4 linked regions of the Cricetulus griseus genome follow. The protein of the gene in region 3 interacts with the protein of the main gene of each other region in a pairwise test. Links are inferred from orthologs where the notes say so. Each region holds a gene or a part of one and is shown on either strand. Other genes may lie near its edges. The genes, in order: Taf1d, CUNH8orf33, Hap1 and Hmox2.

The links.
Region 1: the proteins of Hap1 (region 3) and Taf1d interact in a two-hybrid assay, tested with the Homo sapiens proteins (2 studies listed by BioGRID and IntAct). The link is inferred for Cricetulus griseus from reciprocal best matches to the Homo sapiens genes HAP1 and TAF1D.
Region 2: the proteins of Hap1 (region 3) and CUNH8orf33 interact in a two-hybrid assay, tested with the Homo sapiens proteins (2 studies listed by BioGRID and IntAct). The link is inferred for Cricetulus griseus from reciprocal best matches to the Homo sapiens genes HAP1 and C8orf33.
Region 4: the proteins of Hap1 (region 3) and Hmox2 interact in a two-hybrid assay, tested with the Homo sapiens proteins (2 studies listed by BioGRID and IntAct). The link is inferred for Cricetulus griseus from reciprocal best matches to the Homo sapiens genes HAP1 and HMOX2.

The regions. Positions count from the first base shown.
Region 1 is NC_048597.1:128,814,742-128,818,836, forward strand, and holds the start of Taf1d (TATA box-binding protein-associated factor RNA polymerase I subunit D), read left to right. Parts: upstream 1-1,289; 5' UTR 1,290-1,579; intron 1,580-2,743; 5' UTR 2,744-2,753; coding exon 2,754-2,824; intron 2,825-3,225; coding exon 3,226-3,601; intron 3,602-4,095. UniProt on the Homo sapiens protein: Component of the transcription factor SL1/TIF-IB complex, which is involved in the assembly of the PIC (preinitiation complex) during RNA polymerase I-dependent transcription.
Region 2 is NC_048595.1:374,229,216-374,233,424, reverse strand, and holds CUNH8orf33 (UPF0488 protein C8orf33 homolog), read right to left. Parts: upstream 2,852-4,209; 5' UTR 2,577-2,851; coding exon 2,571-2,576; intron 2,488-2,570; coding exon 2,197-2,487; intron 2,041-2,196; coding exon 1,956-2,040; intron 1,820-1,955; coding exon 1,673-1,819; coding exon of another isoform or gene 1,650-1,672; exon of another isoform or gene 1,627-1,649; intron 1,245-1,626; coding exon 1,105-1,244; 3' UTR 490-1,104; downstream 1-489.
Region 3 is NC_048600.1:113,415,065-113,419,161, forward strand, and holds the start of Hap1 (huntingtin-associated protein 1), read right to left. Parts: upstream 2,841-4,097; 5' UTR 2,700-2,840; coding exon 2,147-2,699; intron 1,236-2,146; coding exon 1,159-1,235; intron 820-1,158; coding exon 703-819; intron 590-702; coding exon 408-589; intron 194-407; coding exon 94-193; intron 18-93; coding exon 1-17. UniProt on the Homo sapiens protein: Originally identified as neuronal protein that specifically associates with HTT/huntingtin and the binding is enhanced by an expanded polyglutamine repeat within HTT possibly affecting HAP1 interaction properties.
Region 4 is NC_048600.1:41,928,596-41,932,607, forward strand, and holds the start of Hmox2 (heme oxygenase 2), read right to left. Parts: upstream 2,826-4,012; 5' UTR 2,714-2,825; intron 1-2,713.

The sequences.
Region 1 (4,095 bases), on a different chromosome or scaffold from region 3:
CTTTTAACCTATGTCTGAACACTCTTCTCTGGTGAACGCCCCACAACAATTCTGCTCATTAAGTTCTTTTCTTTTTTCAAGACAGTTTCCTGGAACTCACTCTGTAGACCAGATTGGCCTTGACTCATTGATATCTGCCTGCCTCTGCCTCCCAAGTGCTGGGATTAAAGGCCTAGAAGCTCATTAAGGTTTTTTTATTTTTTTATTTTTGGTTTTTTGAGACAGGGTTTCTCTGTGTAGCTTGTGCTGGCCTCCAACTCACAGAGATTCGCCTGCCTCTGCCTCCAGAGTGTTAGGATAAAGAGTGAGGTGAACCTTGGCAGGTTTCATGGCGGGCGAGGTTGACCGAGGCCAAGGGACAAACATTCCAGGCAGACAGCTTAAATGAAGTTTTATTAGGAAGAGGCAGGCCAGCATAATGCCTGATCCTTACACCCAGTGCTGGGATTAAGGGCATGAGTCACCACCGCCTGGCAGTACACAACATAAAGATGGTAAAACTTGTATTAATAATTCTAAATTTTCCTTACTTATGGGGAAAACATAGTCTAGGCTGGCCTGGCAATCCTCCTTCAGACTCTCCAGTTCTGCGATTTGCCACAGTTCTCAGCTATTTGTCACTTTCGTTTTGAACAGGACCCTGCAATTTAAGTTTGCACTGGTCCTGAATGTGACAGTCTGAGATGCCTGTCTTAGAGCTTACAGCGAATGCACTGGCTGCTTGCAAGTACAGCAAGACCTTACTTTTAAGGCGTGTCCAATCATAAATGATAACAACTGTTGACTAAGGGCAAGCAGATCTGCTGGCTTGCTTGTCATACAATACAAAGGTGCAGCATGGAAAATAACTCAAAGCAGCTCACTACTGAAAAGAAAGTACTGTAGGGCTAAAAACTGTTTAGCCCTACACTGTTGAGTCAACTCAGGATCTGAAGGAGGAAGCCCATGCCTGCTGGAAGCTAACTCCTGAAGGGTGGGGTGCCCAAAGCACCTGGCACCCTTCCTCTGAGGGGGAACTCCGCACACAGTGGGCTCGGCCCCACAACATGCGGACGCTCACCTGACCCGCAGTGTCTTCACGCCTGCAGGAATGCCTTCTTCCCTTCACCTACCCAAGTTCAACGTCCTGCTCCCTTCCGCCAGCTCAAAGCCTAGGGGCGAGCCCGGTACCGCCTCTCGCGGAGGCCCCGCCCACTCCACAGTCCACGCACATAGCCACGCCTAGCACGTAGCCGCGCTCTCGTACCCACCCGCCGCTAAGAGCTCACGCGAGATCTCGGCCTGCCCTAGTCGGCTGCTGCGAGCTGGAACGTTCTTTTGGTCGCGGTGGAGGAGGGAGACGGGTGTGTTTGCGTTGGGCGCTCGGGTCTGGCGCGATCGGTCGGTGCGGGACTCGGAGACCGCGCGCGGGCCCGGGCTCTTTGGGCGGCTGTCCGCGCGCAGTCGGCGCTGTTGTCGGGTGAGGCGCAGCGGGCCACGCGTGGCTCCCGGTCGCTATCGGTCGCTGCCGGAAGGTTTTAGAGTGTCCCGTCGGGGCATTGTGCTGGTGCTGCCTTCCTAGGTCGAGAAGACCGCACAGGTAGGACTGATTTCTAGATAGGTTCCTCGTGTGTACTTGGCCATTACCCTTAGAATTTTCTCCGCTCTATCGTTGGTGCAAACGGGCCAAGTATGTTACGTTGCAATTTTGATGGGCTAATACTAAAAAACAATGGGGAATGGAGAAATGGCTCTACAGCTAAGAGCACCAGCTGCTCTATCAGGGGACGTGGGTTCAATTCCTAGCAGCCACGTGGTAGTTCACAACCATTTGTAATGGGCTCTGGTTCCTATTTCTGGTATGGGTGAAACCAATGCACTATCCGTAAAATAAGTCCCCTTTTAAAGGAAAAAAGTTAATAACCCGGGAGGTGGTGGTGCATTTCTTTAATTACAGCACTCAGGAGGAAGGCGGATCTTGAGTTCGAGGCCCCGCCTGCCTCTACCTCCTGGGGTTAAAGGCGCGCACCACCACCTGGCCAGTTGCGGCCCCTTTAAAGCTGCCTTGTGGGTGCTGGGAATTTAATCTGTCCACTCAAGAGCAGTCAGTATTCTTAAAGCTAAGCCATCTCTTCAGCTGACTCACCCTAGAGGTTCTATTGTTGGGATTACAGGCCCATTGGCCATTCGGGAAATTGAGGCATACACACTGAGTGGCTAAAAATTCAGCCTTCCTAGGGTAAACATCCGAATTAATGCTGTTTCACTGTGTGGCTGGCTGGTAGTAAAGCCACTCAGGTACTTTTGTTAAGTAGAATTAGAAAACACTGATTTGGAAAGTGGTCTCTCCTTTGCTTTCACTTGTAGATTAGAATTGAATGTGTGGGTATCCAGGAAGCCAGAAACATGCCATGTTGAAGTTGTGAGCTACCCAATGTGAGTGCTGGGAACTGAACTGTGGAAGGTTACACTTTAACTGCTGTGCTCCTCACGTGGATATTTTTTTTTTTAAGACAAGGTTTTTCTATATTGAATTAGAGCCTGTCCTGAAACTAACCTGGAACTCACAGGTCTGCCTGCCTCTGCCTCCCAAATGGCTGGGATTAAAGGCGTGCACCACCAACAGCTGGCTCACTTGGATGTTTTTAAAGATCTAAAGTGGACTATCCTTAGGTCGATTTTACCTAAAGTCACATGGTGGTATGGTGTATGTTGAACTTTTCATTAGAATGCTAGGTGCATCACACTGAAATTGTAATTGCAGAGATCGAGTAATGGCTCAATCAGAAGTGACTTCTGTTGACTGCATGACACCTGATAGAGCTGCAGACATTGGACATCAAAGGTAAGGCAGCTTTTGTGACTAAACACCCTAGAGTTGAGTCTAACTGTTCAGATTGACAGGTCTCAGTAGGTGGCCTCATTCAAAGATGATCCTGCCTATTTCTCCCAAGAGCTGGAATTAAAGGCTTATCACCACACCCATTTGAAAATGTTGGGTATGATTTTGGGGGAGCTGGCTTTGGAAGAAATGTACACTTAAATTTTTAATGTCTTCTCTTATGTGACTTATGAGTGAGTGCTTTGCCTACAGTCAGTATCATGTGTTCAGAAGAGGGTGTTGAACTCCATGAAACTTGAGTTACTAATGACCATGCTGCCTGAGGGTACAGCCTTGCCACTCGTGAATTGGATTGTTTCTAGTAACGACTCAGTGATGCAGTTTATTTTATTTTATTTTTTTAGCGATGACTCATCTGATAGCTTATTTAAAACACAGTACGTTCTTTCACCTACACGAAAGCAAAGAAACCCTACGACAAAACGTGTCACTTTACCTGCAAATGTTGACACTGACACATCAAGTGACTCCTCTATAGAACCAAGGCTTTTGACTTTAAAGGCTATTTTTGAAAGATTTAAGAAAAAGAAACGGAAAAAAAGGAAATACAAGCCAAAATTAAGACCAAGAGGAAGACCACCTGGAATAAAAAATGCTAGAAACCCTAGAAGGTCACAGATAGGTGTGAAGCAAATTAAAAACAAAGGAGCTGTGTTTCCATTCTTAGAATCTGAAAATGGAAGAAAACCCTTACCTTGGAAGAAAATTTTAACATATGAGGTGAGTCATTCTCATGTAAGTGAATACACTAGGAAATTGGAATGATTGTTGCCCCCATCTTTTCTTCCTGGTTTTTCCAGACATAGTTTCTCTGGGTTTGGGTGTTGTTGGCCATTTTTAATTTGAGGTCCACCTGGGACACATTTTGTTACTTTGACAATAAACAATGTGTTCTGTGTAAAGTCTGCTCAGGTTCCAGTGTTTCTGAGTGCACTGTTTTTAGTGTGTATACAAACTTAGAGAATAATGGTCCAAGTCTGTAAATGTACAAAATACCCTCATCTTAGTCTCTAAACTACTCTCAAGCATATCTTACCCAACTTTAAATTAAGTAGCCCATCAAACCAGTCATTTCAAAGTAAGCAGATGTTATTTCGTTCTTTTTATTTTTTATGTCATTTACTTTTTTGGGGGGGTGTTTCGATACAGGGTTTTCTGTGTAGCTTTGGAGCCTATCCTGGCACTCCTTTGGAGACCAGGGTGGCCTCGAACTC
Region 2 (4,209 bases), on a different chromosome or scaffold from region 3:
CACTAATACTGTCTCCTAAACCTACGATAACACTAAGTATTGAATACATAGTGTTGGAAAAAGAGAGAAATCAAGAATGACATAGGTTTCTGGCCTAATAACCAACTAGACAAGGCAGTGAATATCACTGACTAAAAAGGAAAGGGAGACCCAGGGCCTAATTAGGTATTCTGCAACATTCTGAGTTTGAACTGCTCACAGAATATTCATACAGAAAATGTTGAATACAGCTGGACTCCAGATTATATCTAGTCTGGGATTTGACTTTGGGCAACACCAGATTACATTGGTGTGAACACCTGAAAATCTCAACTCAGTATAGCAGAGGGTTCAGTACCCATAAAGAGGCAGTGTGTGGGCTGGCAAAATGGCTTAGTGAGTAAAGGCAACTGCCACCAAATCTAGAGGCTGAGATTAATCCTTGAGAGGTTAAACCTCTGACCTACACACATGTGCCTAGCATGCTCATACACACACATACACACTCACACAAATAAATAAAGGTTTTTTTTTAAAAAAAGACACAAGTCTGCTAAAACACAGTTCAAGTTAAAGCATGCAGCTCAAGAACAAATGATGGCCTGATGGAGGCCACACTGGCTCTCTGAAGATGACAACCTCCTCAGAAAAAGAGACAACATGGACAAAGACCTAAACCCTGACATCAGAGCTGTACCAAGTAAAGGCAGTCCCTGCCCCACCTAACTCCATCCACCATAGACATCACAAGCTTCCATTCATCACCTATTTTTTTAAAAAAATAAAAACATATTTATTAGGTTGATCCTTTCAAAAGTACACAGATTCTTCAGTTCCTTACCACCAACAGTTATTCCCAGAGACTGGAGCACAATTCCTGCAATCCACTCAACACTCAGGCTTAGCACAGAGGAGTTCCCAAAGCACCTCTCTTCTGACAGGAGGAACATTTCCTTGAGAAGTTCAAGGACAGTCTCACCCGGGGCAGCAGTTTCATGTCCACAAACCAATTAGAGACAAAGCAATCCTACTTCTGCCAAAAGAGTTCATAGAAAGACCCCTATATTCAAGACAAATGGTCACACCACCCTGGAGGAGGATGACTAGTCCAGAATGTAGGAGAATCTAAAAGAAATTGAACCGAAATTCTTCATCAGGAAAGTCCACAGTGGCCTTGGTTCTTCCTGTTGGACGAGGCCTACAGACCCTTCCACTCTTCTTTCTGGCAGTCTCTCCTACAAGCTGTACTCGGGCTGAATGGGTAGCTGTAGGAAGGTGGAGCGAAGAGTCAGAACTGAGTAACAGTTAACAATATCCATGCAGTTATGATTGCCCCCACAATGTTCCTATAATGATGATATTGTCATTCCCTGATGAGATTCAGAGACCCAGTAACTAGCTAAACTGTTAAGATCTAAATAACAGATCCAGGATTTGAACCCATGGTACCTGGCTTTGTGGTCAGTGGAGTGAACCAAGGCCTAGACAGGTGAGCTGGGTTTTCCCACCCCAAAAACAGAACAAGGTGAGGACCAGGGTTCTCCTGATTCCAGGAGCCCAGAAAGGTATATACATTCTTCCTGCTTAGGGTTTTCCCTGTGCCCATTTCCTCCAGCACCAACCTTGCTGAGCTGAGCTTCTCCCTACCTCTTTGAAGTACATAAACTGAATCAATCACTTCCCGGTTCCTCACCAGTCCTTAGAGCCCTCAGGGCTTCCTGCCATTCGGCATCCATTTGAGCCCTGTAGTCCCCAAACAAGGATCGCATCAGCTGTCTCTTCCGGGGCAGGGGGGTTTTTTCACTGCGCAAGGTTCGGATTGCCCCAACAGCCTGCTCTTCTGCAGATAAAAATAAGGAGCTGGTAACTTCATACATACTCCCTACAAAAGCAACAATTCCATCCCCTGGCAATACCATCAGGCTACAGCACTATCACCATTTACATTTCCCTAACTATAAAGAAGGGGCTCTCACTCTGCTTCGGGGTGGGTTTCTGCGTCTTGAGTCCCAGCTCTAGCTGTTCCACACACCAGGCCAGCTCCCTCGCCAGTTGCTCCGCCTGGGGTGGAAAGAAGGTCATGGCTGTCATAGGCATCAGGACTCGGCAGACCCCAGCCAGTCCCATCCCTTCAGTGCCTTAATTCCGCACAACTAGACCACACTCTCAGGAGGACTAGCTAGCACCCAGAAAGCTCACAGGGAATCCCACCCTTACCTGGGCTTCAGCACTGGGGGGAGCTTCGTCTAGGACAGGTTTCTCGGAGATCTTTCCGTCTCCATTTGTCCCAGAGACCCTGTTCGGGATTTTCTTCTTCTTTTGCTTCATCGACACAGTGTTGCCTGTGGGATGTGCTCTGGTGGCAGAGTCACAAGCAGGTTGCACTAAACTGACAAGGGGCGGATCTGCGGCACCGCAAGCAGGACGGGGGAGCCGAGGTCTGCGCGCAGCGCGTTGAGTTCTCCGGCTTGAGGCTGCTGGTGCCTCCCGAGCAGGACGCCCTAACGCCTGAAAAACGTGGAACAGGAGGAAATTCACAGGGGCCCCACACCCAGGGCCTCGCCACGCAAACGCCTTCTTCCAAAGCTCACCGCCATGCGCCGTAGCGGTGACCGGAAGTCCTGACTAAAACAGTGAACTCAGTCCTCCGGAAATGCGTCTATGGCCCGGAGTTCCGCAGAAGGCGCCGCGGACCCTGCAGGCGGAGTAGCAGGGGCAAGCGCTCCGGGAGGGGCGGGGAGCACTCCGTGGATCTGGGCCTGCAACTCTGAGAGGATCCGGACAGAAAGAGCGCAGGAACAAACGTGGAGGCTTCGGAGAACCCAGCAGAGTGCATCGCTGAGAAACCAGACGAATGCGCGGCGAGATAGGGATGGAACAACCCTCCCTCCCCGCGGGGCGGGGCAGAAAGCCCAGAGGTGGGGCGGGGCGCACGCGCGCGTGGGTGTACACACATACACACAAAACATAAGTACTAAAAAATAGACATTAAAGGGGGAGGGGCTGGAGTGTTGGCTCAGTGGTTAAAAGCACTTCTTGTTACATAGGACCTGGGTTCCATTCCCAGCACCCACATGGAGGCTTACTACCTCCAAGGGCACCAGGCCCGAATGTGATGCGCTGACGTACATGCACGCAAAACAGTCATATACATAAAATAATAAAAATAAATCCAATAAAACAAAGAAGCTTTGTGTGCAGACTGATTTACAGTACTACAGTAATATGGAGATACTGGAATGCTGAAGGTCTAGTGGCTAATCACCTTATCTTGGACTACTTCTAGAACAGCTACTCCTTGCCCATCTCTGTCAGAACTAACATCTTGCTGTGAATAATAGATAAAAGACCTTTTAGAATCTGTTTACTTAGCAGACCACTAACTTCCACTAACCCCAAAGCTTCAGTAACATCTTGGGCCTATAGAAATGTTTCCCCATCTCATTGTAACTTTCTGGTGTATCCACCAGTGTAAATTTGCCTTGATTTATGACTTTCATTGTTCTGTAAAACTAAAGCCTTGTGAAACCTGTTTCCACCTTAGAACATGGATTTTAGGACAACCTAAACCTGTGTTCCTGGGCCATGGTCACTCAAAATGGCTCCAGAACAAACCTTGTCTTAGTCCCTTTTAGCACTGTGAGCTTATCTTCTACAAGTACCAAATTATTGGTACATTTCTTTTCAAATCTTGAGGAACACCCCATAATTACTGTTGTATGGTATTTTCCTCAGAATCCCTGACGGGATGGAATGAGGAAGTTTGTGAGGTTCTGGAGGAAAACAAAAGGTCTGTGAAAACAGAAAGGTCCTTGCCAGCTGTATAAAAAGGAGTGACAACCCCATGTGAAGAGGGTTCTCAGTCTTTGAAACTGCCTACAGGCTATCCAGAGAGCTCCAGGGCTTCACTTCCCCCAGTAGGATTTTCCAATGGCGCAGTAGTTTTTGAGTCATCCCTGCTCCTTGTAAGTAACCCTTCACTCATACTCCTGTTAGTAACCCCAACAAAAACTCATTAGTTCACCAAGTTGGTGCAGTCGTAACTTCGGTCTGTCATGGATTCCCTTTCTGGGGTGAGTAGCTCTTTGTGTGTGTGTAGAACTGAGGTCATTCTCAGGTATCATTCCTCAGAAGGGATCCACTTCGTTTATGTTTTAATATATAACTATGTCTTAGTTAGGGTTTTTTATTGCTGTGAAGAGACACCATGACCATGGCAACTCTTATAAA
Region 3 (4,097 bases):
TTGTCAAGGTGAGAGGCCTGGAGGAAGGGAAAGAGGAAGGGGCAAGGCTGTCACCGTTCTCAGCCAAAGGCATGCCCTCCACCCTGTCCTCACCTCCTCTCGAAGGTGGTCATTCTCTTCCTCCAAGAGCCTCAGCTTCTGCTGCAGGGCTTCCAGCTGTGGGCAGCTGTGCTCTGTCTCCACCTTAGGGGGCCTGGTAACAGGGCAATGAAAGTCAGCATGCAGGGAGGGGCAGGGATGATGGCGGATCCCAGTCCCCAAGGCTTCCCCATACTGGATAAGGGTGGCCGTGGCATGCAAGGCCCAACAGCGCTCCTGGCAGGCTCACTGTCTATGCCCCTGTCTACAAATGAGCAACTGAGGCTCCGAGAAAAGGGATGGTCCAGGCACAAAGGCAGAACACATACGGCTTGGGGGCACCGTAAGGATGATCATGCTGCTGATCTTGATCCCACTGTCCTTCGTGTTCCTCCCCTTCCTCCTCCTCCTCCTCTTCTTCCTCTTCATCCTCCTCATCATCCTCATCGGAGTCCGAGTAGAGCTGAAGGAGGTCATCTCGCAGGTTTACCTGCTTCCGGAGATGTAAGATCTAGGGGAGGAGAGAGAAGCCACTGGAGGGTGAGGATGAAGGCACAGGACAGGTGCTAGTTTGGGGGAGAGAACACACTGACCCCTCCCCTTCTCCCTTAGGTACCCAGATACCTCCTCCCTGGCTGAGCCCAACATGGTTTCCAGCTTGTTATTCTCCTCCATCAAAACACTGTTCTGTTTCACCAGGGACTGGCCAATGCGAGCGGCTGTGTTCAGGTCCCGTTCTTTCTGCAAAAGGAGAGCCACCCGTTCATACATTCCCACTTTCTGGGACCTCCCAAACAGGAGCAGAAACTAGGGCTAGGCTACAAGAAGAAAGCCTCTGCAACACCTGGTTTTCCAGGTGCTAGATCAGACACTGTTAACCACCCCTAGGGTCTAACTCAGTTTCCCATTATGGGGGGCGGGGAATAAGATCAGCCCAGACTGGCCCCCTGAAAGCCACTTGGCCTTCCAGGAGAGGGGCCCTCAAGCTGGCCCCCAGGCAAATAGAAAAACAGACAAAATCCCTAAGTCCTGCAGGCAGTTAAAACGATGGCTGGCCTGGATGAGGAAGACAGTACCCACCTCTTCCAGCAAATACAGCATCACTTTGATATCATCTTCGGTGATCTTCTTTGTGGGAGGTGGGTTAGGACACAGTGCTGCAGGAGGAAAGGCCCGAGTGAGTCAGGGAAAGGAGCCAGCCGAGGCTGCTCAGAGCCCACAGTGTCCCTCACACCAAAGGTCATGGAGCCAGGAGACTGCAATCATCCAGCCCTACCACCCTCTCTCCACAGCTCCTGCTTCCTCAGGAGGGGCCTGACTGCTCTAAGAGCAAAACCATCCTCCCGGCTCAGGAACTGGACTCCGAGGACCCCTGGGTCCTTGGTCCGTAGAGATATAAAGTCAGGGGAAATAACAGCTGCAGACCCAATCCGCCTGACCCAATCCGCAGCGAAGCCAGCTCACTGGAGCCTCCTCGGTCATAAAAACAGATGCAGTCACCCATCTTACACCTGTTGCGTGTGACAAGACAGCCAAGGAAGCTTCTTCGGCACCCAGAAGCCCTGAATCTAAAACTGCCCCCTCACTCCCCCCCCCCACTCAGAAGAGGAGGGACAGAAACCCTGTGCCCCGCCCACTCCTCCCGCCTCAGCCCTGCTCCAGGAAAGCACTACCCAGAGCCCTGCAGCCAAGTAGTGGTCAAAAGCTCCCCCTCCAGCCACCCACGCAGGCTGATCCCACGGGCTAGCGCAGGCTCAGAGAGCCACCAGCAGCTCCTCTGGCAGCCCCCGCCCCTCTGCTGGCACTGCGGTAGACGGGGAGGGGGCACTGAGAGTGCGCAGATCTGCACAGCAACAGGCGCGAAGAGGGGGCGGGGAGCGCGCAAGCCCTGGACCTGACGCACCCGCAAAAATCGTGGAACCCGAAAGAGAGGAAAAGATGGAGAGGGAGACTAAACGGGCACCGCGGACAGCGATCTCGCGGGGGCGGGGCGCCTGAGTCGGTGGGCCCCTCCTCTCCGGAGATGCCCTAGTAGCAGCCAGTGCGGGATCCCATAGACTCAGTTTACCTTCCTGCAGCTCTCGAATAAACGCCGCGCGCTCAGGGCCGGACACGCAGGGCCTCCTGCCGATGTACGCGGCTGGCGTCTTCCAGATCCCCTCGGCCTTCCCAGAGCCCAGGCCACTGGCCCGGGGACCATAAGGCCCCTGGAATACGTAGCGGGTCCATGGGGCGTCCGAATTGCCGACGATCATGGACCGACAAAAGCTTCCCGTCTTGACTCGGGATCCCGGAGCTCGCTGTCCGGACCCGGTTCCCTGCGCCGGAGCAGCTTTGGGCTCCGCCGAGGGCTCTGGGGTCGGACTGGCCGCAGGCTGGGTCGCGGGGGTGCCCGCTGCTGAGTCCCCGGACCCCGTCCCTTCCCCCGCACTGTTTTGCACCTGTTCCTTCGGGCGCATCTTGACTCCGCAGTGGGCTGCCGCAGCCGAGCCTTTATAACCTGTGCCGGAGCGGGCTCCACTGGGCTGTACCACGCGTGTTGCTGGGGGTGACCGAAGATCAAGTGGCGGTACTGAGGACTCAGGATCGTGACAGAGAGAGCGGCAATGGTGATGGGACATGAAACAACATATTTAAAAGAGGAAAGAAAGAGACGAACGAGTTCCCAGTTGGCTCTGCGGGATCGGGTTCACGGTGAAGATCTCCCGCGCCTCCTCCATTCTCTGAGAATGGTTCTGTCCAAAGCCGTCGCTTCCCTGGACTTGGGCCGAGGGACCCCGAGCTTCTGTCTAGAAGCAGCTCCCCCCTCCCAGCTTCCCCCCCACCCGCGGGTGCTCCCGCCCCTCGGGCTTCCAGCTGCCTTTTCTGTTGTCATACCCAACGTTGAATAGAGGCCAGGGTGACCTGCGAGTCAGGGCAGTACGCCTGGGTCTTCCCAGGTGGATTAAGCGAGAAATGCAAACTCTGGTTTGGCTTTCAACGTGTTGCGTGTCACCCACAGGTCCTCGCGCTCGCACTCCCGCACTCGCCCCTGGACGTCTTCCATCTTAGTGCGTTCGCTCGTTCTTTATTTCCAACCCTGATTCGCAAGGCCTACCGTCCTTGTTCTTCAGAGATTCCAGAATGAGCATCTTCCGAGGAGATCCCGCTTAAATGTTTAGCTGTGACCACTCTTCCAGGAGCCCCTTCCCACGCCCCGCGCGCGCCCGCACACCCCTCTCCCCAAAGCATCCGTTATCCCGAGGTCTGAAAGGACCGATGTCGGTCTTCTTAGACCTGTGCCCTTCAGCCCATGGATGGTGTGCTCCCCAGAAAACTGGATACCTGGGAAGGTTCTCTTAAGTCCAGAATGAACTGGGCTTGGGGTGGGAGCTAAGCAGGGCAGTAGCCATTTCTGTGCGTTTAGACTGGGAGACAGGTTAAAAGGAGATGCGTGACTCATTGACTAAGGTCTCAAAATCATTCTTGATGTCATCCATTCTCCTCCACCGCCTTCCAGTTGCAAGCCTACAGACTTTACCTTTTTACAAATATGTATGCATCCTGAGTGCTGTGATTAAAGGTTTGTACCACCACACCCTGCTGATTTTAAATTTTTATTTGTGGTATAAGAATGTGTCCGTGTCTGTGGGTGGAAGACAGTGGTCAACATCAGGTGTTGCCCTCGCTCTCCACCTCATTTTTTGAGACAGGGTCTCTCGCTGAATCTCGAGTGCAGTACTTTGACTAGACTATCTGTACAGTGAGCCCCAGGCATCGGCTTAACTCCACCCCACCCTCAACCCTGGGGTTTATAGACAGGTGCCTTGCTAGGGATCTAAACACAGGCCCTTAAGCTTACACAGCAGTTTGCCCATTGAACCATCTACCCAGTTCCCTAAATATTGGCTTGTTTTGTGTGTATGTGTGTTTTGCCTACCTGTTCCTTCTGTGCACCACTTGCACTCCTATTGTCCACAGAGGCCACAATAGGTCATCAGATCCCCTGGAGCTGGAATTACATATGGCTGTGAGCTGGG
Region 4 (4,012 bases), about 71 Mb from region 3:
TTTTCACCAAGTATGAGACTGATTCCTGGGGCCCACCATGTAAGTGTAAAGAGAGAACCAACTCCCATACGGTATCCTCCTTCCCTCTCAAATTTTAAGACTTCAACAGAATAACTAATTAAAAAAAAAAATCTCTTTCAGGGTCTGGAGAGATGGCTCAGCAGTTAAGAGCACTGGCCACTCTTCCAGAGGTCCTGAGTTTAATTCCCAGCATGCACATGGTGGCTCACAACCATCTATAATGGGATCTGATGGCCTCTTCTGACATTAAGGTGTACTTGTAGATAGAGCACTCATACATAACATAAATACATCTTTTTAAAAAAATCTCTTGGGCCGGGCGTTGGTGGCGCTCGCCTTTAATCCCAGCACCCGGGAGGCAGAGGCAGGTGGATCTCTGTGAGTTGGAGGCCATCCTGGTCTCCAGAGCGAGTGCCAGGATAGGCTCCAAAGCTACACAGAGAAACCCTGTCTTGAAAAAAACAAAAAAACAACAACAACAAAAAATCTCTTGGGCAGCAAGACTGTTCATCTCATAAATGTGCAAGCTTAACCACCTGATCTGAGCTTTACTGCTAGAACTCACAGTGGAAGAAGAATCAACTTCTACAAGCCGGAAAATATGAAAGCTCTCATGAACACTCATAATTTTTTAACAAGTAAGAAAATCTCTCTGTCTCTTTGACTCTGGTGACTCAACAGCATCTCAACTGACTGCCCTGAGCAAAGAAAAAAGGAACTCAAGTCTAAATATGGAGGAACCACAGGATTTCCTCTTCATGTCCCCAGCAGTATCAGGTCATTCACCGAGCATGCAATTTTCCAAGGCTCACAGATTGTCACACCCTAATCAGTGTTTTAGCTGAGGCACTGTGTTAGACAATGTTTACCAATTTTATCAAGTGAACTGATTAAATGTCCTACTGAACTGGCAACTCCTAGCAAGCAAAGATTACATTTTGTGATGATTCTGGAGAAAAAAAAAAAGTTCTGAATAAACACTTTTCACTCCTCAAAGAAACTAAAAGCATTAATAATCCTGCAATCAAAACATACAGTTAGCTCCCAGCATGATGGTATACACATTTAATCACAGCACTGGGGAAGCAGAGGCAATAGATCTCTGTGAGTTGAAGCCTGCCTACACAGCCAGTTTAAGGACAGTAAGGGCTAAATAATTTTAACAGAGACCCTGTCCCAAAGGAAAAAGATGGTTAAGGCTGGGGCACTTAGGAGATGGAGGCAGAAGGGTATCACATTCAGCCATCCCAGACATAGCAAGGATCCCTTTTCTCAAATACAAAGCACTAGGCAGGGCTGAGGGTTCAGTGATTAAATATGTGCTCATGATGTTCAACCTCCACCATCAAAAAATGTTTGTATTAGTAATAATTATTATTCATTATATATGATAAAGTTTATAATAATTATTATAAATAGCACCACACCAGAAATAGAAAAGCACAAAACCTGTGATAGGCTTATTTCCTTCTACATGACTGAACTGCTTAAGGCCAGTATGACCACTTAAACAACCATTTCTTTTTTTCTTTTCTTTCTTTTTTTTTTTTTTTTTTTTTTCCGAGACAGGGTTTCTCTGTGTAGCTTTGGAGCCTATCCTGGCACTTGCTCTGGAAACCAGGCTGGCCTCACAGAGATATGTCTGCCTCTGCCTCCCGAGTGCTGGGATTAAAGGCGTGCGCCACCAACGCCCAGCCTTTAAACAACCATTTCTAATCTCCAATGTCTAATCTGAAAGAACACAGGGCGTCCAGGCAGGCCACTAGAATTAAGAGATCATCCGTGCCATTACCTTGCCAGTGGGATGTTAGTCGATTTACTTCACCGGTCTCTAAATGATCTCATTTTAAAGGTGGGAAAACATAAGGGCTGAGAAAGGGTTGAAGGACAGGAGGTCTCCCTCAACTGGACAGCATTATATGGTGTTTATGTCCCTGGGTCACACTCCCTCTTGTTGAGTTTGTGGCGCCAGCAATAGAAAACAGTAAGGATCAACAGCAACTAGTCACAACAACCGGTCCTTCAAAACCAATTTAAATGGCATGACACAGACAGCCCTTGTGCAAACACTGTGTAAGGCGGTCCTGGCAGTTTTTACAGGGCAATTAAGTCACCTAGAGCCCTGTGCTTTGGAGGTGACAGGTGACCTCCCCGTCCAGACCAACTGGCTGCATCTAAGGCTGAGTCCTCCCAGTCTTGCATTCTGCACCAGAGATCGATCACTCATGAAATCCCCACAGTGATTCTAAAGGATCTTCCTAACAAGGGGAGTCACTGGAGAGCGGGCCAAGAAGGCCGCCACGCCCGGGGCTCCTCCGGGACCTCAGGTGGGCTCCAGGGCTGCACTATCTTCGACCCCGGAGTCACCTCCTCAAGAGCATTCGGGACGCTGGGAGGGGCTGGGTCCCACGGGGACACCAGACGACGCTTGGGTGCGGAGGTCAAAAGTCTTCTAGGGCGCGGCACATGCAGTTTCGGGCTCACCTGACGCTCGAGGCCCGCTCGGTGCCCCCTCCCCGACCCCCGTCTCCCGATCGCCGGCCTCAGCCCGCTTCCGGCCGCCCCCTCGTCCGGATGTCCCCTCAGGCTGGCGGCCGAGTCGCGGAGGGCCAGCCGAGCAGAGCTCTGGAGGAAGGCTTCTGGCAAGCGAGGACCCGGGCGGGCAAGGCCGGGAACGGTGCGGACCACTCACCCTCTGCCGCTTGGCAGGTCCGTCAGTCTCTGCGTCAGGGACTCCCTCAGCGCCGCGTTAGCCGAGCGGGCTAGCGCGAGGACGGCGGGACGTGCGCACGCAGAGGGGGGCGGGGACTGACAGGCCACGCCCCCAGCGCGCCGCAGCTAGCTGGAGGCGAGTGGCTCTGCGGATACTGCCTGCCACGCAGAATCAATCGGCAGAGGTAGTATTCAGGAGAGGAAGTGTGTCAACCAAAACCTACTGTTAGTTGGTTGAGAGTGGTGGCTCAAGCCTGGAATCCCAGGACTCGGCGCGGGGAGGGAGGCAGGAGGATTGCCCTGAGTTTAAGCTTAAACTCAGAGAGTTTGTCAATAAATAACAAAAAACAAAACAAACAAAAAAAAGATGGGGGATTGGGGGTGTAACTCTGAGAAAGGATTATTGCATTGTAACACCGCAAAAAAAAAATTCAAAACAAACAAACAAACCCAAAAAACAAAGACAGAAAGAAAAGGAAAACTAACGCTCTCTTCTGGCCTCCACCAGCACATGCACATATACCCACACACAAATGCACTTAATCAAAATTTTTATTTTTAATTTTTTTTTAAGATCTTGCTTATACAGTCTGGAAGCTCAAGATTCTCCTATCTCAGCTTGGCAGTGGTGTCTCACGCCTTTAATACCAGCACTCCCGGAGGCAGAGACAGGCAGATCTCTGCCTGGCCTACTGAGTGAGTTCCAGGACAGCCTTCATAAACTACAGAGATCCCCTGTCTTGAAAAAAAACAAAACAAAACAATTCTCCTACCTCACACTACCCTGAGCCAGGACCACAGGTTTGTGTTATCAAGACCAACTAACGATTCCACTTCTGGGTAGCTATTCCTATATACTTGTATATTTTATACACTTTCAAGACCCAGAGAGGCATAAATAGAAAAACCACTGCATGACATTAAAAGATACTCCAGTTAAATAAGAATTATAGGAGAATGTTAAGTTGGAATGAGCACACACCTTTAATCCCAGCATCCAGAAGCTAGGTGGTGTTGGTTCACTTTAATCCTAGGACTCAGGATTAAGAGGTAGATGGATCTATGTGAGTCCAAGGCCACCCAGATATACACAAGATTAATCCAGTCCTAAAGAGAAACAGTTCACACAAAGGTGATCTAAGCAGCTGGGATCACACACCTTTAATCCCAGCATTAGGGAAGTATATAAGACAGGAGCAAGGTCTTAGTATCAGGCATCCATTCTCCAGCCACAATGAGGATAGACAGCAGGATCAGCCCATTCAGCCTGAGGTAGTGG